4 linked regions of the Arabidopsis thaliana genome follow. The protein of the gene in region 1 purifies or fractionates together with the protein of each later gene. This does not show direct contact. Each region holds a gene or a part of one and is shown in the gene's direction. Other genes may lie near its edges.

Region 1 (5,828 bases):
ACTATTTTGTTTATCAGCACTGACAACATTATCTTTGGCCATCGTCAGCAATTTGTAGAGAAAGCAAGGGCTCATTCTCATCGTAATTCATCTATTCTTCATCGAGGAAAGCTTTGAGACGAGGTGTGGGATGGAGGAATTGAGCGTGTTCAGACTTGGATTTGATCCGATTGTAACCGCTCGCGCTGTTTGTCTAGTTTTACGATTACGATTCTGAATAATCAAGTTGTTAGATCTCACAATGTTATTGTTATTTTCATACCGGTACTATATTGTAAGTGTATTTTCATACCAAACAAATTTGTAAGATATTTTCATATCTAAAATGCATCTTTATTTGAATTTTATACCCAAATTTAAGAAAACGCGTAAAATTCAGAGTCAAATTAACAGAAGTTAGTCAACACCGTGAAGATTTTGAGTCAGCGCACACACTGTGATAATGACGTGTTTAAAACGACGTCGTTTTGCAGTGTTGGAATGTAAAATTTTCAAATTTTTGCAAAATACGGTTTCGAACCCGTGTCCTCTTTGTCTATAGAGAGGGTGTTAAACCATCTCATCCCACAAACTTCATTGATTATACACCAAACGTTTTAATATATAAAGGTAACGATTTTTCTTTAAAATGAAGTGTCTAGCCATTTTATCTAACACAACTTTATCGGTTAGATGCCAAACATTTTAGTATATAAAGGTAACAGTTTTGTGATTTTAAATTAAGGTAAAACCCTCTGTTTATACCAGCAATGTAATACCCCTGAAGATGACTAGCAATCGGACTGAAGGTCGCGAACGTAGAAGTGTGACCGTGACTTTCAAAATCTTTCGTAAAGAAAAATTTGATGGAATAATGGGTAAACTAGCACTACCTAAAGTGATCATAGATCAAAGGAGGCTAATCAAAAGAGTTATAGAGCAATCACGAGTGAGTTCAGATTTATTGGCTATCGCTAAGAGTCATGAAGCTTCTGTTAGTGTACCAGATGCATCAGATGTAGGAGTTAATTCTAAGTTCAGAAGTGTTGTTGAGAACACCAGGAAGCTTCTGTTAGTGTAAAAATATATTTTTGAATATATGTTGTATGACTCGATTTGGGCATTAGGCCTGGCTAGCCGAACACAAATGTATTTTGAAGTATTTTAAGATTAATAAAATGAGTTTTCTTAAAAGCCTTGTATATCTCTGATATTAGTCTTGTCCGGACTAACACAACTTGCGAATGTGGTACGGGTTGAAAAGCCTTAGGCCATGTTCGAGAGGAACGATGTTCGCAGATGGACTGACCTTGGTACTGGAGGTGTTCTGGGAACTCAGTCGGATTGTCTACGAGCGTCTTAGGTAACGCTTCCGGATTCGTTCTTAGTTTTAGAACGGTTCGGGGTGTTACAGTCGGTCCATATAAATCTCTAACTAAATTGTTAATGAAAATCACCTTTAAGTATAAATATTAAGAAAAAAGGCTCCTTCATTAATAATTACGCTTAAATATATCTCGTTTAATAGATATATTGTGTTAATGCTTATTAAAAATGTTTAAAACTTATATTCTTAAAAATTGCTAATGTCGATTTAAAAATTCCAAGATAGTGTAATCGTCATCCATTATCGTGCTTATATTTTATTTCAAATTCATTTAGTTACTAAAACTATACATGTTGATTTTTATTGTTATACGTAATATATGATGCGATATCTTAATTATATTGGTTTATCATTTCAGTTTTGCAATTTATTGTACCATGTTTTTAATGCTAATTTAAAGCAAACATGACATTCTCTTATATCTTAAAAAAAATATACATATCATCTTTTAATAAATCAAAATACAATAATATTTATTTGATAACAGACGTTTAGGATTCTGACGATACTATAGACGAATGAGTTTTCTGGTTAAGAGATGGAGGGATGTAAAATAGAACTATAAATATTTGTGTGTTTGTTTTGTTAATAGTTTAAAGATTTTAAATAAACTGATTAATATTTAAGGGTTTTTGTCACTAAAATTTCTTAGTTAATAGTATTATTTATTATTAATATAATTAATGGTTTTAAAATGGATATGTAGAGGTTTTTTTTTCATTAAAATCCTTTTCCATAATTACAAAACCTATAAATTGAGATTCGGGGAAAATAATATCTAAACCAATTGAACAGTCTCGGTTAATTAACGGTTCGATTGAAACCGGTTTTAATAAAGAAGGGGGAAGATTGAGATTTTTGGTAGCCAAAACAAAAGAATTTAGAAAGAAGCCATTTCGCTCCAAAGTCTCCAGAATTTTCCTTCTCATTCCCGGAAAATTTCTACAGGTATTTTCTGGGGAAAACGAAAATTACGTCAAATCTTCCGTAAACATTACGCTATTGCATCGCGCATCCGGATTTTGAACTTTGACTAAAGATCTTAATTCTAATTTCTTGTTCAGTTCCTTGGATTTGCTCGATTTCGGAAGAGAACGAAGAAGATAGTATGGTAATATCTTCATTCAACTTCAGCGATCTTGTTCTTAGTATCCTGATTGGATGAATTTGTTACTTCAGGAAACTCCGAAGATCGTAGTAACGAGTGAAGATTGGGAATCGAAGCTAAGTGATGTGGAAATTTTGATAGAAGACATGAACAGACTCGTGATGAATCTTCTTGTGGCTGAAGGATATAGAGAAGCTGCTGAGAAATTCAAAGAGGAGTCTATAACTATGCGTATCCTCTCTGATGATGATTCATGTTTAAACTTGTGAAAGAAATTTCTTTGATTCTTTCTTGTTCTGATGATGGTGATGATGATGCTTGTGAAAGTCTGGAAGAAATTTCTCAGATTCGTTCTTTTATGGTGATGATGATGCTTGTGAAAGTCTGAAAGTAATTTCTCAGATTCTTTCTCTTATGATGATGATGTGATTCGTGTTTAAATTATATGATGATGCTTGTGAGAGTGTGAATGAAATTTCTCAGATTATTTCTCTGATGATGATTCGTGTTTAAACTAGTGAAAGGAATTTATTAGATTCGTTCTCTTCTGATTCGGATGATGATTCATGTTTAAACTTGTGATTTGTGTAAGAACTTTCTCAGATTCGTTCTCTTCTGATGATGATGATTCTTGTTTAAACTTGTAAAAGAACTTTTGTTAGATTCTTTCTCTTCTGATGATGATGCTGCTTTAAAAGTGTGGAAGACATTTCTCAGATTCGTTCTCTTCTGATGGTGATGATTCAAGTTTAAACTTGTGAAATAACTTTCTGCTTTCAGTTCTTTTTTCCTTTAACCAGAAACAGCAGAGGAAGATCTTGCTAGCATGAATGAGCGATTGGAGGTGATAAAAGCTATCGAATCCCGAAATCTCGAGGATGCAATTGAGAAGTTGAATGCACTAAACCCTGAGGTATATGGAGTTTCCTAAGTGCTTAAGAGAAGAAATAGTTGGATATCTCATTACTTGTTTTTTGGTTTTTGGTGTTTGTAGATTATCAAAACAAGTTTTCACCTCCACCAGCAAATGTTGATCGAGTTGATCCGTGAGAAGAAGACCGAGGAGGCTGTTGCGTTTGCACAGGAAAAACTCGCGCCACTAGCTGAGGAGAATGTGAGTCTTTAGCAGATTCATCTTATAATAGGAGATTGGAACTGGTCATAAACAAATTCTGCAATCTTATGCAGGAGGCCTTACAAAGAGAACTGGAAAAAACAGTGTGTATACTCGTTACTGAAGGTCTCCCTAACTGCCCGTCCAGGGAGCTTTTCCACAACTCGCAGTGGATTAGGACTGCTAGCCACGTAAACGAAGCAATCCATACAAGCCAGACTGGAGAAAAAGGTATATGGCTATACTTTTTACTGACACAGAAAGTGAAAAATAATGAGCTTATCTACCAAAAAACAGAACCAGTTGTTTATGATGGCCAAAAGTGTCATAATTACAGTCCCTAGTTGCTCTCATGTGTCTTTCAGATTTCCAGCTCTTGAAACTTTGTCAATGTACCAAGTGAGATGATGATGATGTTATGTTTTGTGAATTGTCAACAGGTCCTGAATTGGAGCGCTTGTTGAAGGAGCTGATTTGGACTCAGAATCAACTGGATGAAAAAACAGTCTATGTGTATCCACGCATGAATGATTTTTCCACTGGCCAGCTCATATACCGACCAGAATGATTCTTCTTCCCTTTCAACAACTAACGGCTCTGCAAAAGGGAACATATATAGTGATATATAACTGATCTGTCGCAAGAACATGATGACCATTTCTTCCTAGTGAGTATTTTGAGTGAGGGGGGAGTTTTTAGCCTTGCTCTTATGATTTAGGGATTTTCTTATTCATGACAATATTGGACCCCTAGGTAGTACTAATAACAAGAGAGGGTTTTTGTTTTCAAATGTTGGTTTACTGGTTAGGCTTTTATTCTCCACCATGGTATGGTTCCTATAAAGCTACATAAGAATTCATTTTGAAGTTTGTTTGGTGTGTGACCGAAGAACCAAAAAAAAAAAAACAGTTGCTCATTCTTTGTCTACTTATCTCACTATTCGGCAATGCATATACGTCCTAATCTTTGTTTTGCTTATCTTAGTTATTCTATCTCTCTCCCTTACCTAAAAAGCTGGCTTCAAAGGACTTGACGGATCGTTTATAAAACAGACTAGTCATAAACATAGATTTATATTCGAGATGGCTTCAAATACGAATCTTAAACTGTTTATAGTATATATAGTATCTAATAGCTGCGGGTGTTGTGAAAGGGAACTTAGTGTTGACCATGGTCATGGAGTTTAACCAAGAAGTTTGTTGAACCAAGGATTCACACAATAGATTTGTTTAGAGAGGGAAAACAAATCTAGTAATTTCTCTTCATTAGGTATTCTATCCAAGACTCGATTACAAGAGGGGTTCTAATCTCTTATGAAATACATTAGGGTTTTGCTCAAGAACAGAAAAAGAATTAAAGTTTTAAAAAGGTATAGCTGCATCCATGATGGATTGCCTACGTACCCTGTGAAGGGATCAAGCCATTCGTAGTTCTCAATAGGTATAAAGTTCTATGTTTCTTGTGAATATCCCAAGATCTCCCCCTTTTTGTGAAGTCCCTAAGGCACTTTATATAGGATCCTTAAACCGCCTCCCTAGCGATATTCTTCGGAAGATTCTTATTTATCCTTAGGTCGGTTCTAGAGGATAATCGTCCTAAGGATATTCTCCTTATTCTTCGGAGGTTTTGGGGAGATTTCCTGATTTCGACATTATCTTCAAAGATTCTCCTTTATCATTTCTGAAAGTCCCATAAAAGATCCCATTTTACCGGAAATGATCCTTGGAGAATGAATGGTTTTTACAAGTCTTTGCCTCGCGTGTTCTTCACGGCTCGGTGGTCGTTTGAGAGGTGGCTTCGGGGCAAACGGTATGTACCGGCTCGGGGCGCGCTTGATGACTGTCCATTAAGCTCAGTTGGCTGTCTCCCGAGCCGATATAGATGTGTCCCGCAGCGTTCTCACGATTGGCTCGGGCTGTGTTCATATGATTAACACCCGAGCCATTTTACAAACTCTCTTCGGGACGGTCGATCGAATAAGGTCCCGAGGTGCTTTGTTCTAGGCTAGGGGCCAATCATATGTTTAACCATGAGGTGATTGTTATTCTTAGACTGTTTGGCTCGGTCTTGCTTGTGGGGGAATCCGACCCCAACGAAGTTGTACCTTGACGGAAGAGAGCACGAATGGGATCGGTGCGGGTGTCTGGAAAGTGCCTGAAGAAGGTTCATGTGATGATCAAACTCTGGAATGCTACTGGGAGTACTGACTGTACCAAAACCTCCTCCAACAGTGCCACAGG
Region 2 (5,480 bases), on another chromosome or scaffold:
ATTTGAGGTTGTTTGAGTCTTAATCATCTCGATCAATGTCGCGTTTTCCCCGTGGATTTGTGGAGAATTCATCAATGGAGGAACCCAAAATCGCTCGTCGTCCAACTATTTGCTTCAGACCAATAAACCCTTCTGATTTAGAACGTTTGGAGCAAATCCATCGTGACATATTCCCAATCAGGTAAATAAATACCTTTGTTTTGGAAAGAATTTATATGTGATCTGGTTTTGGGATTTGACTTTCCGTTTTTTGGAAGTGTCTTATCAAAGCATTTGATTTTGTTCAGGTATGAGTCTGAGTTTTTTCAGAATGTTGTCAACGGAGGTGATATTGTCTCTTGGGCTGCTGTTGATCGGAGTCGCCCTGATGGTCATTCTGAGGAACTTATTGGATTTGTTACTGCCAAAATCGTACTTGCCAAAGAAAGCGAAGTGAGTTGCTTTGTGTTTTGTTCAAGTGTCTTCCTTTTTCATCGTCTTGTTCAAGTGTAGATTTCAAATGTCCGAAATGGGTTTCTTTCCACTGGAGAAAATAAAGCTTCAATTTGTAACGTTTCAAGTTATTTTTGAAGCTTGTTTTGAATGGTTTTTGGGTTTTGTAAAGAAGATGCAATGTCTTGTAAAGTGAAAATTTTGAATGTTTGAAACATTTTCTTAAAAATTTCTTAAAAATATAAACTTTCTACAATTTCAACAGCTTTTTCTAAGCTTTTAAGTTTTGGTTGGAGCTTCTTCAGTAGTAAAACATTGTCTTCTCTTTGTTCTTCGCCTTTTGGGTTTTGGTTCTGAAATTTCGAAATAACTTTATACAGCAAGTAACAAGTAATTGTGAAGTGTAGATTTTGAATGTTGTTGAACCATTTCACAATGTCTAATGGTTTAAGCGTGAATTTTAAAGCCATGTACATTAGATGGGTTTCTTACGAAAGTTCTAGAAAATCAAAAAGAGCCAGCCACTTTATTAACATCTTGATTATGATCCAAACTTGTTTTGTACTTGTTCGTTTAATGTTAAGAGTCATCAATGGCTGTTTCTTGGGTAATATGTTGATAGATTTTCTATGTCTTGTACAGATATCAGATCTAATAAGATATGACTCGTCGAAGGGAGAGGGGACATTGGTGTACATCCTAACACTTGGAGTTGTAGAAACATACAGAAAACGTGGAATCGGTATTGATTCTGACCCCATGTAGTAAACCAATGATATGGATATTTTGTTGATGGCTTGATGCTTCTCTTCTATTGCTTGGTTTTGTTAATATTAAGTTCTGCAACTTTTTTGTGCAGCTAAGGCACTTATTAACGAGGTCGTCAAATACTCTTCTGGTATCCCTGTGTGCCGTGGTGTTTACCTTCACGTGATTGCACACAACAATCCCGCAATCCGGTTGTACAAAAGAATGTCTTTCAGATGTGTAAGGAGGTTACACGGATTCTACTTAATCAACGGCCAGCATTTCGATTCTTACTTGTTCGTCTACTTTATCAACGGTTCTCGCTCTCCTTGCTCACCCTTGTATGTACAAAACACAAGTATTTTTTGCATTCTAAATTCTGTTTGCTGTGATGTTTCTTTGCGGTTTCTTCATAGATGGGGTTATCGCTGAATCATGGCTGCATTGCAGAGATCTTGCGGTGTTGGTTCTGAATTATATGAGGAGCGGAATCAAATCTTTCGCATCAAAGCTGACGGTGAACCACGATGAGAAAGGCTCGAAATGGCTTAAAAGCAAAGACAACACGCGGTGTCTCTTGCCCACTCAGACTAAACGAAACCTTGCATCGGAAAGAGTATCATCCGGGTATGATTACGTATAGTGTCCGTCTCCCATTCATAGACTTTGTAAAATCATTCATTTTAATGTCTTCCATTAAGCTCTGGTTGTGATCCTATTGTGTGTGTTCGTGTAGAATAATAATGTGATAAAAATGTAAATATTGTGATGTGATAGTTGAAGACAACTCTTTGGGACGGAGGGTTCAATCCACTGTTAGTCTTATTGTCTTAAATTAGTTAGCTTGTTGAAAAAATTAGCTTTGTGCTTTATGGCGTGAAAACTAGCATAAGCTCATATAATTTACTTAAAATTACAAAAACAAACCCCAATACTTTTTTCGAGAAACCAGATCCTTCTTCAATTCTGATCATGAACAGCTTTTGGCTCTAATTGGGGCTAATTCACATGACATGGAATTAACTAGAGATGTTTAAACAGATTTAAAAAAAAAAAAACAAACCAGACCAATTTTCTGGGTTAGTAACAAATTTCAGTTCACCACTGTGAATGCTTAAATTGTAATTTAAAAAACAATAGGGATTAGGTATATAATAAATGAAAGTTAACGAGCAAACTGTGAAGAACGAGGGAAAGGGGAAGAAGGAACGGAAACATAGAATTAGGGTTCACAGTGCATCAGAGAATCATAATTTCTCTGTTTCGGATTTTTAATCGTACAAGAGGTGAATTGATATTGGGTTCGGTTCGGTTCAAGTAAGTTAAATATTCTCTTTTTCGCCGATTATTTATTGGGTCAATCTCACTATAATTTCGGTTCACTGAAAATTTGAGAAACAGAAGTTGTCCTATAACGATTTTGACGATGAGAAGAATAAATCGAATTCTATGAAACTTTTGCTTAATTACTAGTTCGAATGTTATGAATTCCCGTGAATGAGTATTCAAAAAGGACCTTAGTGTGTTCTCATTGTTTTGAGCAGTTTTTAGCTTACATAGATTTATTTGTTTGGTTTAAGATAATGCTTTGTCAGAATTATGCGAAGCCTAGCCTAGCTTATTATGAATTGTGTTTGTTCTGCAGATTTGAATAATATTAGACTCTAGTAGTTAAGATGTCAGTGAGAGCTAGGAGGATTGTTTCGGGTAGATCAGAGACTGTAGCAGCTAATTATGCTTTCGATCCGTTACATGATGACAAAATTATAAGAAATAGGCTTCTCACACGCACGACCACCACCAGAGGCGAACCTCCATTGAAGAAGCTTCAGAAGAAATTCACTTCTTTTGTTATTGAACTAGACAAAGAAGAAGATAACTACAGTGAGTGTGGTAGGCTCGCGAAAGCTTTCTTGCAAGAACTCTCTGCGTTTGAGATTCCGCTTCTTAAGAGCCAAGTAGTTGTCGCTGCAAATCTTAGGGAGAAAGAGAACTTTAACGAGCTTAAAGATGAGACGAATAGGCAGATAATGCAGGCACAAGCTGATATAGAAGATCTTAAGAAACAGCTTGAGGAGAGTAAGATAGAGAGACAACAGAAAGAGGAGTGTGAAGCCATTAGGAAACTTATCTCTGCGCAGCCACCGAGGTCAGAGACGCAGAAGGTTATACATGAATTGAAGAAGGAGATTGCAGAACTCGAGGCTGAGAATACAGCAAGTTGGAGACTTCTTGAACTAAGGAAGAAGCAGTTTGCATTGTTGTTGCATGTGGTATGTCGATTTTACGGGTTTCGTTGTGTTTTTATAGCTAAGATTCTAAACAAGATTTCGCCTTTCTCGTGTTTCTTTATGTTTACAGCTAAATCCTAACCTTTTTGGTTTTGTGAAAACTTTTATGTATAGGTGGATGAGTTGCAGGAGACAATGGAGGATGAACAGAAGAGTATGGTGGAAGAAATGCAGAGGAACATTACCGCTGATGGCGCTGAAGCCATGTCCATCGATTAGCTCCTAATCTTAGCAACTTTGTCTTCCTCTTGAATGCTAAAGAAACAAACCTTTCATTGATAAGAAGAATCTGTTTTATAAATTTCTGGTTTCTTCTGGTTGCCTCATAACCAAAATTGCTATGAAAATAAGGATATGTATGTTTCATTTTAACTCGCAGATTCAAAAAAAATAATGGCAGATCTTCTCGAGGTTTTGAGGACTATGTGAACCGGAAAGGTCAGGAGAAAGTGATTTATTTGACTAAACCAAGTTTGGTAATGATTCATCAGGAAAATAACCGGTCCAGAAAATTCAACCGACTAAGATTTATTCCCGTACCAAAGAATTTGCTTTTAAACCGGACTAATATATATACAGTACACGTATATCTTCTCTATTTTGCAAAATCGTTCTCCTCTCTTCGCCACCAGAGAGTCTCTCCGTCTCTTTCCACGGCGAGTTTGCGATCGTCCGCGGTTTGCTGTTTGTCGTCATCTCTCTCGTTTGAAGCATTCTTTTCTAAATTCTTCGCAGTTGCTAGGTCTTTATCTTCTAAACCTTACTATTCGTCGGTGTGCTTTCGCAATTTATCTCTAAACCCTCGGAAATTTCTCCTGCAATTCTGAGCTCTTTGTTCGTCGATCCGAATATTCAGTACTTTCCATTGAAGGTTTGATCTAGAGGTAATTCGAATCGGAATTTGATCAACCTTTGTTTTCTTTGATATTTCGTTTCAGATGTTTGCTTCTTCTTTTTTCCGATGAATTTCGAATCGCTTGACCTTGTTCCGTTTTCCGTTTATCCTCCAAAGTCTGAATATGTTTATAGCTAGCTAGATTCAGGATTTGATTTTACCTTATTTCCCCAATAATAATGAAATCCTTCTTAGGTTAGGGTTTTTGTGTTTTTGTGTTTTGTCACTAGTTTTGAAACCGAAAATTGTCATCAAGTGTGCAAGTACTTTGTCAGAGTAATGCCAATATAATAGTTTTGTTATTCTCATCTTGCTCGGCTGTAGTTTTGCTACCATTGTAATTGTTGTTACTGAGTAACTCCTTTTTCTGTGGTTAGGTCTTGACTAAAGTTCTTGAAAATGGAAGTGGAGAAGTCTAAATCAAGGCATGAAATCAGGGAAGAGAGGGCTGACTACGAGGGTTCGCCTGTTAGAGAACACAGAGATGGAAGGAGGAAAGAGAAGGATCATAGGAGCAAGGATAAAGAAAAGGACTATGATCGAGAAAAGATCAGGGATAAGGACCACCGCAGGGATAAGGAGAAAGAGAGAGACCGAAAAAGAAGTAGAGATGAGGACACTGAGAAGGAGATCTCTAGAGGTAGAGATAAAGAGAGGGAGAAAGATAAGAGTAGAGATCGGGTTAAAGAAAAGGACAAGGAAAAGGAAAGAAATAGACATAAAGATAGAGAAAATGAGAGGGATAACGAGAAGGAAAAAGACAAGGATAGGGCAAGAGTCAAGGAGAGAGCGAGTAAGAAAAGTCATGAAGATGATGACGAGACTCATAAAGCTGCAGAAAGATATGAACATTCTGACAACAGAGGTCTGAATGAAGGTGGCGATAATGTTGATGCTGCATCAAGTGGGAAAGAAGCATCTGCGTTGGACCTTCAGAATCGCATTTTGAAGTAAGTGATTCTCATATGTTATATGAAATCTAGAATTATAGGTAGTACAGGAATTAAAAGTTTGTGTTTTCTTCCTTAGGATGAGAGAGGAAAGAAAGAAGAAAGCTGAAGATGCTTCTGATGCTCTATCATGGGTTGCAAGGAGCCGTAAGATTGAGGAAAAAC
Region 3 (7,785 bases), on another chromosome or scaffold:
TACTTACTTTTAAAATTCCTTGTAAATCATTCAATGCCACTTTTAAAATTCCTTGTTTGGCGAAATTTTTTTTTTGGCGGGAAAAATAAATTTTGGCGCCAAAAATTCGACGGGAAACTTTCAGTTTCCAATTACATGTGCTTATTAGATAAGGGTAATTTGGTCATTCTGTTCAAGGAAAGGGATATTTTTAAAAATGAACAATATAAAAGGGTACTGTTGCAAAAGGATAGTAAAAAATGGTAGTTTTGTAAATCTCCCTAAAATATATGCAAACCATTTTCACTATATTTTACATTCAATAATTTAGAATACAATTTTCATATATTTTGAACTAAACTTGATTTGCAAGAATTTTTCATATCTTGAAGATTTAAAATTGACTCCTAAACCTAACAATCTCTACAATATATTTAAGATTTTAAAAAATTTAGCAGCACTTCAATGTGCACACTATTTTATATGTATGTCTGCTATTGTTTTAACTCATTCAGTATTTGATTCATTTTCTTTCTTTATAAAAAAACAAGAACATAGAGTATAGATCCAAAATAGATTACAAAAACATAGAGTATGATCCAACGGATTTTAACATTGGGTGGATTAGCGTAGGATTATCGAATTTACTGATCCAATTGCGGAATTATATTGGAGTATGACACAATAAATTAAATACAGAAAATTACAAAATAAATTTTATTAAATAGAAAATATTATGATTATGATTTATGATGTAAACTATCAAACCAAAATTGCCACAAATATTTCCTCACGCTGCACATCGTGGATCCTTATCTAGTTTACCTTTAGATTTTCAAACCTCTAAAATTGAAATAATGTTTGATAATTTTCAATAATGCAAAAAAAGAATGAAGAAGAAATTCAATCAAAACAAAAGACAAACATATCACATATAAACTTCATTGTTCTGATGCTTCTTTGATTTAGCAATTTTGGGGAAAAATAAGTTCGAATGCAAAAATAAAGTTTGTAATTATTCAACAAAAAATTCGGGCATACCAATTTTTTTTCTTTCTTTTAATCGTTTGAATGCAATTTTTTTGTTCGGAATATGAACATGGCATGTAGAAAGATGAAATGCTTGCTAGAGCGTTGAAGTTTAGAGAAGCGTTTGTTAGCATGAAAGCTTTTGATACCAATGATAAATTTTTGATCTATTGAAACCTTTTAGTGTTATTATCACTTACTTTTTAGGCTCTAAGTATCCCACATCCAATGTATACTTTACACAAATATGGAGGATTGAGTTGTTGCTGAAGAAGTATGCTATTTGTGATGATGATGTTGTTGAGCAAGTGGCTCAAGAGATGCATGGTAAATTTTCCGAGTATTGGGAAGATTATAGTCTCATTTTGGCTATGAGAGCAGTTTTGGATCCGAAGCTTAAATTGAAGATGCTTGAAGTAGCTTAAAAGAAAGTAAATTCTACTACTTATAAGTTAAAAATTAAAGGGCTCGAGAAGAATTTGATGATATTGTATAAAGTTGGAACTTGGTGAATTAACTTAATGTGAGTTTTTGTAACATAAGATCTATTTGAACTAGAAAGAAGTATTGAAGACGGTGTGAACAACACAAAGACACACTTGGATATTTATTTGGATGAGAGTGAAAGTCTTTTTCGAAATTTGGATGTCTTAAGCTATTGGAAAGATAATCAGAATCGATTTGGCGGTTTAGCTTCTATGACATGCGATGTCCTTAGCATTCCTATTACTAAAGTAGCATCAAACTCAGCTTTTAGCATTGGATCGAGGGTTTTGACTCCATATAGAAATCGCTTGCTTCCAGAAAATGTTCATGTTTGCTTTGTACTCGCAATTGGCTACGCAAGTTTGTTGACTATGAAGGTAAGAGTTTTAAATTGAAAGCTTTATAGGTAATTGAATTATATTAATTAAATTTCATTGTAAATTGTAGGTACCACAGAAGATACCAATGAGTTTAACCATGGAGATACTCGAAAGACTACAAGTAGTTCGAGAGTAGAAGGTTCAAGATCGGAAAAATCAAGTGTGCCATGAAACTTTTGTTTTTTCTCTTTTGTTTTTGAAATATTTTTTATTTTAAGTTTTGTTTTGGTAATAAAACCACTTTTGATATTAAAAGTCTTTATGAATCACATTTGATAAAAACATGGATTTGATTTTACATTTTAAAAGTGTGTATGAATTAAATTTGATAAAACATGGATTAATTTTACATTTTATAAAAAAGTTTGTGTTTTTTTATGAATTGAAACAGCCAACTAATTGGTATATAACTAAATATTATTTATGAAATTTATATAGAGAAATATATATAAGAAAAAAATAAGTCTAACAAATACCGAAACTAGCGGGTCACAAAAATAAACAACGGATCAAAAAATAAATCAAAGAGAAGAAGAAATCTCAACAAATTCTCTAATTCAGTGTTCTTCTTCTTATAGACTCCAAAAACCTCTGAAGAGCCTAATCTCAAAATTTCTAGGGTTTTCTCTAATCGGAACCAAAACCAATGAACTCTTCACCACCACCGGCGAATTCCGCCAACGGCGATACAACCAACAACGGCGAGAACGGTCAAGATCTGAACTTAAACTTCTTAGACAAGATTCGTCTCTCCGCTAAACGAGATGCGAAGGAAGACGAAGGAGAAGAATTACCGACGGAGTTGAATACGATCAATAGCGCCGGCGGATTTCTTGTGGTTTCTCCTGATAAGCTTTCCGTGAAGTACACGAATACGAATCTACATGGTCACGATGTTGGTGTTGTTCAAGCTAATAAACCTGCTCCGATCAAGTGTCTTACTTACTACTTTGAGATTTTTGTTAAAGATTCTGGTATTAAAGGACAAATTGCTATTGGTTTTACTAAGGAAAGCTTCAAAATGCGTAGACAACCTGGGTATTGTTTTCTTTATCTTTGGATTTTGGATCCAATCTTTGTTGATCATTGTGTGTTGAAGTTGTTTAGGGAAGAATCTGAATTTGAAGGATTTAGTTCAAGAAGTATAGTTTTAGCTTGTAGCTTGATCATTGTTGTGTTTAAGGTATGGTTTATTTTAGAAATTGAGGTTTGTGGTATGGTTTTGGGATCCAAGTTGTGGTTTAGTTATTATAGAGATTTAGCTTCTTGGATTAGGTTGTGTGTGTTCTTTCTGGTGAGTTCAGTTGTGTAGAAGTGGTTTAGGGAAGAATCTGAAATTCGAAGGACATTGCTTTGTGGTTTATTTGAAAGCTAGGTTCTTGAGTTTACAAATATGGATGATAGTGCCTTTGAAAGAAGCTTTATCTGCCTAATACTTGAATTTGAGGTTATAGTTTTCTTTTGTAATGGTAGATGGGAAGTGAACAGCTGTGGATATCATGGGGATGATGGATACCTATATCGTGGACAGGGAAAAGGTGAACCTTTTGGTCCAAAGTTTACAAAAGATGATGCAGTTGGCGGTGGTATAAACTACGCTTCTCAGGAGTTCTTTTTCACGTAAGAAAGAAACTGTTTCATGTTTTTTGGTACTTAAATAAGTTCATTACTACTGTGAGTTGAATTCATGATTCATTCATTTTCCTGTTACTCTTTGTCTGTTAAAGCTGATGACATTTTTGATTATTTTTGTTGGTGCCAGTAAAAACGGAACTATTGTTGGGAAAATCCCCAAGGACATAAGAGGTCATCTATTCCCTACTGTAGCTGTACATAGCCAAAATGAGGAGTATGTTCTCACTCTCTCTTTAAAGATCAATACCATTGCCATCATGTATCTCACTCTCTCTTACACAAAGCATATTTTTCTGAAATTTTGGCAGGGTATTAGTCAATTTTGGGAAGAAGAAATTTGCTTTCGATATTAAGGTAAGAGGAAAAATCCTTTCAAACGTGGTTAATTAGGTCTCATAGCTTTATACTAAAGTAAGGATGGTGTAACCAGGACTACTGCTATTGAAATCACATAATAGGTATGCCTCATGTCCGTTCTTGGTACTGGGGTTACCGAATCTATAGCAGTGGTTCTCTTTGTAGACATTGCTCTCACATTTGCTATTTTACTGTTCCTGTGTAATCAAACCTCAAACTCTTGGGCACTCAAGTTATAATCTTTAAACACTGAAGTAGGGCATAAAAATTCTTTCCATTACATATATGTTTGAAATTAAGTAATTGACGAGGGCTGTTTCCCTCTTTCTGTATTATTAGGGATATGAAGCATCAGAGAGGAATAAGCAACAATTGGCTATTGAAAAAATATCCATACCTCCAAACATTGGTTATGGGTGAGTACACTCCTTCCCAGCAGTAACAGATCATGTACTTTTTTAACTTTGAATTGCAATACTTGGTTTCCCTTCTGGACTAGCTTTCTGCTTTATCTATAATTTTGTTTTCTTTATCATTAGGCTTGTCAAGACCTACCTGCTACACTATGGGTATGAGGAGACACTCGATGCTTTCAACCTTGCTACTAAAAATACAGTTCCTCCAATTCATATAGATCAAGAAAATGCTATTGACGAGGATGATTCATCCTATGCTTTGAAACAGAGAAAGAATCTTAGACAGGTATTGAACTTGCTACGGTTTAACATATAAGACATGTTATCTTCTAACTTTATTAGGCTTGTATCTGGCTTTTTTTGGTTCCTATTCAAACCCATACTAAATTACTGCTTCGTTAGTGAATTTGGACTGATTCATTCTTTATTGGGTGTAGCTTGTTAGGAATGGTGAGATTGATACTGCTTTGGCGGAACTCCAAAAGTTGTATCCCCAAATTGTACAGGTGAACTGAGATTTCTTATCATATTGTTGAGATGATCCACTTCACAGGATTGTGATACGAAGTCTTACCCGGCTGTACCTACTGCAGGACGATAAATCTGTAGTTTGCTTCCTCCTTCACTGTCAAAAGTTTATTGAATTAGTACGGGTATGCTCTTCATTCCTTAACCATCTAAATTTCGTGTTCTTAATACTTGTCAGAAATATTCTCTCTCTGTGCATATAAGAATAAAATTTTTGTAATTAAGGAAGCTTTTGATGGATTTGGTGTCTCATACAAAAATTAGCTGCTTGAACTGTGTGATGGACTTTGGTGTTAAACCATAAACTAGTGAAAAAATGCACAGAACCTATAACACACTGGAAACCATGTTACATAGATGCATGGAACCTTGTCACCGTGTATAAATATCACCTTAAGTTAGTTCTCTGGATTATTCCTTCTTTGTTCACTTTCACATCTATGCAGATGGGGCTATTTCTCTAACTATATGGTTTTGGAAAAACATGGCATAAACAGGTTGGAAAACTTGAAGAAGGTGTGAACTATGGCAGACTCGAGTTAGCTAAATTTGTTGGGTTAACTGGATTTCAAGATATAGTCGAGGTACCAATGTCTCCTTTACTCCTTTTTCTTTCAAGCAAGATCTGGTTTCTGAGAATATGTATGTATTGCGTTCAGATACAGAGACTATATATGTTGCTGCTTCGCTTAGGAACTCTATTTTCTTGTTGATTATTCAGGACTGCTTTGCTTTGCTCGCGTATGAAAAGCCTGAGGAATCATCGGTCTGGTATTTCCTAGAAGACTCACAGAGGGAATTAGTGGCTGATGCGGTGAATGCAGCAATACTATCAACAAATCCAAATAAGAAAGATGTGCAGAGAAGCTGTCACTTGCAATCCCATCTAGAGAAACTGCTAAGACAGTTAACCGTGTGCTGTTTAGAAAGGCGGTCACTGAATGGAGACCAAGGTGAAACATTCCGGCTTCGACATGTTCTTAACAACAACAGATAAAGAAGATGAAAATGGCTTAGCCGCGCATATATTTTGAAAACTCTGTTTTTCTATGGTCGTTATCATCATAAGTGGCTTTTGTTCATTACTTGTGTGATATTATGTTGAACTTTCCATTATGTAAAGGAGAAAGTTAGAAAAATGGGTTCGACGTTAAGACACTGGGACTTCCACTGTTATTGGTTCTTTAAAGTTTAGATGATTCAAATTAAGATTTTCAACATTCAAATCAGAAATGGAAAAACTGAATTAGCGGTGGGGGTGTTCGGGTTTAGCGGTATCTTTCGGGTTTTGTAACTTTTGTTCGCTTGGGGTTACCTGAAATTATTCTCAAAAAGAGATTTTATGGTAAACAGAAATTTTTATGAAGAGAATCTTTAATTTTTTATTTTCTTTTCATAATTTCATGTGACGATGTATAAATGTTATGATGGTAAATAAATATTATTGTAAATTATAATCAGTTTTAAACAATCGAGAAAAAACAAATTCTTGTTTAAAATGTAAATTTAATAATTATAATTACAATTTTCACATTTTCAAAATAATAGTAAATATGAAATTTGACCTATCCAATAAAAGCCCAATAACTAATGTAAATAGAGTCTATATTGATCATATTTAGCTTCATCCAATGCTTTTGTGATTAAAAACCCACGTGAAAAAAGGCAATGAGTCCCACATCGGATGCGAAAGCAAGAAAAAATGAAAGTTTGGCTATAAATAGTTAAACATACCGAGTGTTGAACATATATATTTTTCTCATGCTTTGGTTGAAGGTGGCAATAACCTCAAATATATCAGAGGGTGTAGATACTCAACGACTATAGGAGGCAATAACTTGAGCAAACAATTGATTGCAGAAATCCATCGACTAAAGCTGTCACCTGTTTGATTCCAGCTTTTGTCTCCTTACCTGTTGAGTGTCTAAACTCTCTGGTACGTTCATAGTTGTTGCTGCCTTTCGCTTTTTTTTTTACTACACGCAATTGTTTGAAAGAAATATTTCATGTGAATTTTAGATTATTTATTTATGTTCTGTCTCTTACTTTTTATAAAAATTCTAAACAAACAAGGAGTAGAGTTTTGGGGGTTTGGAAAATTTACTACGACTTTAATCTTGTTGGAAACTACAAAATTTTGTTGTTTGCACTCCTCTTATGTCCATAATATTTTTTTATATTACCTTTTAAATCATCCATATTTTCCTAAATCATTTTCCAGAAGAAAAATAATTAGCTTCATACCTTCATCCAATGCTTTTGTGATTCAAAAATCCATGTGAATGAAAGCAACTTATCCCACATTGGTTGTAAAAGCAACAAGGGACTAAAAGTTTTGTTATAAATAGTTGGACATGCTAAGTGTTAAACATATAGTTATGCCCATTCCTAGGCCAAAGGCATGAACATCCTCGAAAAAACGAGAGAGTATAGACGCTTATCGGCTGAAGGAGGCGATAGCTTCTTTTCTGCCTCAGTATTTGTTTTTGTATTATATTTTTATAGGTTTTGCGCAAAAAGCCCTCAAAGTCATCTATTTATGCAACATTATCCTCAACGTTCAAAAAATGCAAAGTAATCCTATAAAGTTAAAAATAATACGCAATATAACTCATTTTTGTAACTTTACATATATTGTAAATGTTTTCACTATCACATACATTTGTTTTTAAATAATTAAAGATATAGTTGAACTCGTCATCTCCAGAGCTTCGATTTGATATATTAACATGTCAATGCTCGATATACTCAATTTGGACCAACCAAAATCATTGGCTCCATCATCAAATGTTTCGATCGACATATATGATTATTTACCTAATTGATACGACCATTTATAACCAGACCATTAGCTTTTGAGATGATAATTCCAGACAAGCATCAAAAGATTATCTTATAGACAAAGACTTTGGTTGAATGTGTATGATTGGAAATTTTATTTTATAGAATGAAGTCATATTTGATATTGGTTGAGA
Region 4 (5,343 bases), on another chromosome or scaffold:
GACATTTAGTTTATTGAAGTAAAGATTTGAAGACAATGCAAGTGTTTCAAAGGAAAGAAGATTCATCTTGGGGAAACTCAATGCCTACAACAAATTCAAATATTCAAGGATCTGAATCTTTCAGCTTGACTAAGGATATGATAATGTCTACAACACAATTACCCGCGATGAAACATTCGGGTTTGCAGCTGCAAAATCAAGATTCAACCTCATCACAATCTACTGAAGAAGAATCAGGCGGCGGTGAAGTTGCAAGCTTTGGAGAATATAAGCGTTATGGATGCAGCATTGTTAATAACAATCTCTCAGGTTACATCGAAAACTTGGGAAAGCCTATTGAAAATTATACTAAGTCAATTACTACCTCGTCGATGGTGTCTCAAGACTCTGTGTTTCCTGCTCCTACTTCTGGTCAAATATCTTGGTCTCTTCAATGTGCTGAAACGTCACATTTCAATGGTTTCTTGGCTCCTGAATATGCATCAACACCAACGGTAATATGCTGTGAAGCCTTTTGTGCTTTTACTATTCTGAATCGATCTGGCGCATTGATTGGTTGATTGGGAAATCTTTTTGCAGGCGCTGCCACATTTAGAGATGATGGGTTTGGTTTCTTCAAGAGTGCCATTGCCTCATCACATTCAAGAGAATGAACCAATATTTGTCAATGCGAAACAGTATCATGCGATTCTCCGTCGCAGGAAGCACCGTGCTAAACTCGAAGCTCAGAACAAACTCATCAAATGCCGTAAAGTATGACTGTTTTCACTTTCCATTTTGCCTAAAACACCAAAGAGAAAGAGGGAAAACTAACTCAGAAGATCTTGATGATTTGATGTAATAAAGTTTTGTTTTCTTTTTCTGTAGCCGTACCTTCATGAGTCTCGCCATCTTCATGCTTTAAAGAGAGCTAGAGGCTCCGGTGGACGTTTCCTCAATACAAAGAAGCTTCAAGAATCATCAAACTCACTGTGTTCTTCTCAAATGGCAAATGGACAAAATTTCTCTATGAGCCCTCACGGTGGTGGAAGCGGAATCGGGTCTAGTTCGATCTCACCGAGCTCCAATTCAAACTGTATCAACATGTTCCAAAACCCGCAGTTCAGATTCTCAGGTTATCCGTCAACACACCATGCCTCAGCTCTCATGTCAGGGACTTGAGGCACATGAGAAGACCTTGCTCCGAGAGAACTCAGGCTAAACTCCGGAGACTGGTGATGATACATGACGGGAAGTCATCCTTGGCTACTTATGTTATCGGTTACAAAATTTCTTCCTTTTAAAAACTTTGCTTTCATATCCTCTACAATCTCTCACTCTATATTGAGTGACTTGACGAACTTTCAAATCATTGTCAAACTATTTTGTTAACTTCCGATTCTCTGAGAGTACAAATTGCATTACCCTATTACATACAATGAGAGAAGATTCAGGGTCACTAAGAGTAATATACACGCATAGATCCCCTAATGCTCTGAAGACAAACTGGACACTTAGGGTTTAACTCTCGTTCCACGGTTGAAGCACATCGCCTGCAACATACTACATGTCCACAGGGAATAAACGCAGGTACTCTCCTTCTTGACACGCAGATCACACACAATTCTCCATCTGGGATTTCATCTGCATCTTCGGGTTCATCATCGACCACAGAATCGTTCGGTCTCTGTGGCAGTTCTCTCTGATGGTTCCATTGTTTCCATTTATTCCAGGTCCTGAAGATAAGACAGTTAAACAGATTTCAAATCGAAACATTGCCCAAATCTAAAACCAAATCTGATCTCTCACAACTCCAGTACCTGACAGCAGCATAGCTAAGGATGCCAACAGACACAATGCCCAAGATAACGCTGCCCAAGAATATAAAGTTGGTCTGTTCCATAAGGTCCTCAATCATCTTGTCCTTGGTCATCTCTGATCTGCAAAGATTATTCATAAAGATTTATATATGAACAGCAAATAGAGCCTTTCTGCAACAATGGACTAAATCTTGTCAAATGATCAACAGATTGAGAAAACATAAAGAAGAAGATGAAGTAATAATTTGAGCTAGAACGCAGGCAGATATATAAGAACGAAAAATATTCAGATAAAATCTCACAAGAAATAAGGAAGATCTTGGCACGATTTGATTTCAGGAACTCCATTATTAAAACTGTAGATGCCAACAGCTGTTATATCTTTCCCAGGTGGTAAAATCTTCTCTATATCAAGCAGACCAACCTTGGAAGAGAAAGGATTACAAAGTTAGCCAAGAACAAGTAACCATCAGTTCCTCAAAACCAGAAATTTCTTTGAATATATATATACTCACAGGATAATCGGGGTACAAAAAGGCTTGAAGAAACGAAGAATTAATAGGCTGCAAGCGATTATACACAGTGGTAAGCGGAAGAGGTTGCCTTGAGCCATCCATGTTAACAGCGACAAAACTAGAGTTCGATTGCTGATCCTTTCCAACAATGACAAATGGGACCTGCACAAAGCAAAGGATACACAAAACAAGTTTGATCATGGATACAGAGCCAAAGTTGAAAGCTCTGAAGCTGATAGAGAGACTTTACCGTTCTCGTAAAATCAGCACCGTGTTTGCGCAATGATCTCTCCAACATAAACCGGTGACCAGTGGACTGAAACAATCTCTTCCATCCACTATACACATACTGTCAACAACAAAATGATGACATTAGAAACATACATTTCCCTTCTGAGATCACACCAGTACCAACTTACATAATCCTAACTTAATCAATCACAATGAACACCTAATCATGAAGAAATCATCCAAACTCTTTAACCTAAGCCTTTGATAAGAACACAAAGCAAAATTAGGTCAATGTCAATTGCAATTTGAGGGAAACATAAACACTTAGGGTTTAGAGCAACGTACAGTTTGCGTTCTCTGAATGATAAGAGCTTTATCTCCAGTCTCCGGAGAGATTAACACGTTGTTGTTCTTGTAACCCTCATCACCGGAAATTTTCGGTTTGACGACTCCGCGAACCACAACGATTCGCTGATCATTGCTCTTCCTGTTATCGTTAGTCTCTGATTTGTCTTCAGAAGCCGGAAGCAGTGATCGGAGGTCGGAAATGGAGACTTCGGGTGCATCTTTGATCTTCTTCAACGCGGCGTTGGTAGAAGCATACTTGAGAGCAGAACCGACGGCGCTAACAGCTAAAGTCAGTCCGAGGATTGCGCCGTCGAAGGAGAGAGCGATGTCCGTCAATAGATTCAAGAGAGCACGCTCCGGCGAGGACATTGTGGTAATTTCGATTTCAACGTCGTAGACACGGTCACACGGACAAGTAAACGGAAGAGAAATGAGGCTATTATCGGTATTTAATATTATACATTCGACCGTCGTTCTAATTTGGGTCTTTAATGGGCCTATGCACGAGTGAAATACAAAATACTAGTAATAAATAGCGTTTTAGTTAAATTACATTTACACCCTCAACGTTACAGCAGATTTACAAACCAAAACCATAAATATCAGATCTAGAGTGGCAGAGATTAGTATTTCCCGATTCCTCGCCGCCGTTCATCAATCTCTCCGTCGTGTTTCTGCCACTAGCTCTCCACCAAACTTTCTCTCTCGCATTAGGTATTTATCGCCTCTTTATGGCATATAATCTTGTGTTTTGGAACTTATTGATGAAGCTAGGTTAGAATCTCCTTTGTCTTTCTTATCTCCGATTCGTGAAGCTCTAATTCTTATTTATTCGATTTATGTAATGTGTTGCTGTTACACGATGTTTGCTTGTGAGATTCGATTGAAACTTGTGTTGTTGCAACATCAATTCTGTATAAGAAAGGTTCTTAATTTGACTCTGTAGCTTTACTTTTTTTTTAGTTGTTTAGGGATAAACATGGCAGGAGAAGGTGAAGAAGATGTACCTAGAGATGCTAAGATTGTGAAATCTCTGCTTAAGTCGATGGGTGTAGAAGACTACGAGCCTCGTGTGATACATCAGTTTCTGGAGTTATGGTACCGGTATGTGGTCGAAGTGTTGACAGATGCTCAGGTTTACTCAGAGCATGCTAGCAAACCCAACATTGACTGTGATGATGTGAAGCTCGCTATTCAATCCAAAGTTAATTTCAGCTTCTCACAGCCTCCTCCAAGAGAGGTATGCATTGTTGACGATTCCATGTTTCTTCTTCTTCATTGTCTGAGAAGAGATGCGATATGATCGGTCATTTGGTATATGTGAATCATTAGGGAATTATCACTCTTACTTATGACTTATGAACTGTGTGTGACCCTCTTGCCTCATAAATTGTATCACTGAGAACCTCAAGTTTTTGTCTGTCACATCCATGCCTTTTGGTTCCTGAATCTTGAAGTTTCTGTTTTTGATGTTTGATTTAGGTTCTGCTTGAGCTTGCTGCAAGTAGGAACAAGATACCTCTGCCAAAATCGATAGCAGGACCCGGTGTTCCACTCCCACCTGAACAGGACACATTGCTGAGCCCAAATTATCAGCTCGTGATACCGAAGAAGTCGGTTTCAACAGAACCTGAAGAAACCGAGGACGATGAAGAAATGACAGATCCTGGACAGTCCTCTCAAGAACAACAACAGCAGCAACAACAAACCTCAGACCTTCCAAGCCAAACTCCTCAAAGGGTCTCTTTCCCACTCTCTAGACGACCCAAATAAGTACCCAAATAAGTAGATAGACCAAAAAATCTATAATATTTATGTATCAACAAGTAGAAATGTAACACAATCAAAAATTAATGACCAGAGCCAGTTTTTATGGACCAGATCCAGATGTGTGGTTTGAAGATTTAGAATGTAAGAGAATCAAATATTAATGACCAGAGTCAGTTTTTTAGAACATATAGGCATATCTTATATACACTGTTGTGTGGGAATCAACAATACCGAAGGTACAACAAATCTTCTGAAGCATTATACTATATATGCAACTATAGTATATATACATGAACAAAGGTAATTAAGAGAATCAGTTAGCTTCCCCAGCCAACCATGGTACCAGTAGCTGCACGGTGAGGCCGTGAAAACGCAAGCCCTCGATCATACATCCGCTGAATTTCCTCTCTGTATTCAGTCAGAGACTTGTCAGGTATGGCTGGAGTCAGCTCCACCACATCTCCCATCTTCAGCTTGCATTTCAGATCACTTACAGGTGTCTGGTTAAGTCTTGGCCTTAGCTCTTCCTTTGCCGGGATGCTGTACATTGACCATCTCGAGCTCCCTGGTCCTGCTCTGCGTAACAGGTCCGACACGGTAGAATTCTCGGGAAACTCTTGCACAGTCATCTGCATTTTCGGGTTTATCAAATTATAACTCCAAGCAAAGAAACATCCTCA

Evidence for each region.
Region 2: the proteins of AT4G09300 (region 1) and THO7 fractionate together in Arabidopsis thaliana (co-fractionation; one large-scale study listed by BioGRID). This does not show direct contact.
Region 3: the proteins of AT4G09300 (region 1) and RanBPM fractionate together in Arabidopsis thaliana (co-fractionation; one large-scale study listed by BioGRID). This does not show direct contact.
Region 4: the proteins of AT4G09300 (region 1) and TAFII21 fractionate together in Arabidopsis thaliana (co-fractionation; one large-scale study listed by BioGRID). This does not show direct contact.

Annotation. Positions count from the first base shown.
Region 1 is NC_003075.7:5,896,534-5,902,361, forward strand, and holds AT4G09300 (LisH and RanBPM domains containing protein), read left to right. Parts: upstream 1-2,479; 5' UTR 2,480-2,527; coding exon 2,528-2,705; intron 2,706-3,095; exon of another isoform or gene 3,096-3,280; coding exon 3,281-3,387; intron 3,388-3,468; coding exon 3,469-3,588; intron 3,589-3,662; coding exon 3,663-3,819; intron 3,820-4,028; coding exon 4,029-4,156; 3' UTR 4,157-4,481; downstream 4,482-5,828.
Region 2 is NC_003076.8:5,520,851-5,526,330, reverse strand, and holds THO7 (Tho complex subunit 7/Mft1p), read left to right. Parts: upstream 1-2,319; 5' UTR 2,320-2,496; exon of another isoform or gene 2,497-2,824; 5' UTR 2,825-2,855; coding exon 2,856-3,452; intron 3,453-3,584; coding exon 3,585-3,689; 3' UTR 3,690-3,914; downstream 3,915-5,480. Other genes in the region: AT5G16800 (Acyl-CoA N-acyltransferases (NAT) superfamily protein), read left to right, coding at 36-181, 288-432, 1,075-1,174, 1,292-1,495, 1,596-1,822; DOT2 (SART-1 family), read left to right, coding at 4,765-5,315, 5,395-5,480.
Region 3 is NC_003070.9:13,049,658-13,057,442, reverse strand, and holds RanBPM (SPla/RYanodine receptor (SPRY) domain-containing protein), read left to right. Parts: upstream 1-2,349; 5' UTR 2,350-2,520; coding exon 2,521-2,912; intron 2,913-3,347; coding exon 3,348-3,494; intron 3,495-3,636; coding exon 3,637-3,723; intron 3,724-3,817; coding exon 3,818-3,863; intron 3,864-4,205; coding exon 4,206-4,282; intron 4,283-4,405; coding exon 4,406-4,568; intron 4,569-4,719; coding exon 4,720-4,788; intron 4,789-4,875; coding exon 4,876-4,935; intron 4,936-5,307; coding exon 5,308-5,394; intron 5,395-5,531; coding exon 5,532-5,807; 3' UTR 5,808-6,286; downstream 6,287-7,785.
Region 4 is NC_003070.9:20,213,399-20,218,741, reverse strand, and holds TAFII21 (TATA binding protein associated factor 21kDa subunit), read left to right. Parts: upstream 1-3,476; 5' UTR 3,477-3,607; intron 3,608-3,856; 5' UTR 3,857-3,872; coding exon 3,873-4,133; intron 4,134-4,375; coding exon 4,376-4,666; 3' UTR 4,667-4,843; downstream 4,844-5,343. Other genes in the region: NF-YA5 (nuclear factor Y, subunit A5), read left to right, coding at 36-494, 580-753, 868-1,161; SPL2 (E3 Ubiquitin ligase family protein), read right to left, coding at 1,439-1,715, 1,800-1,919, 2,102-2,223, 2,315-2,476, 2,565-2,663, 2,891-3,262; RSH3 (RELA/SPOT homolog 3), read right to left, coding at 4,981-5,292.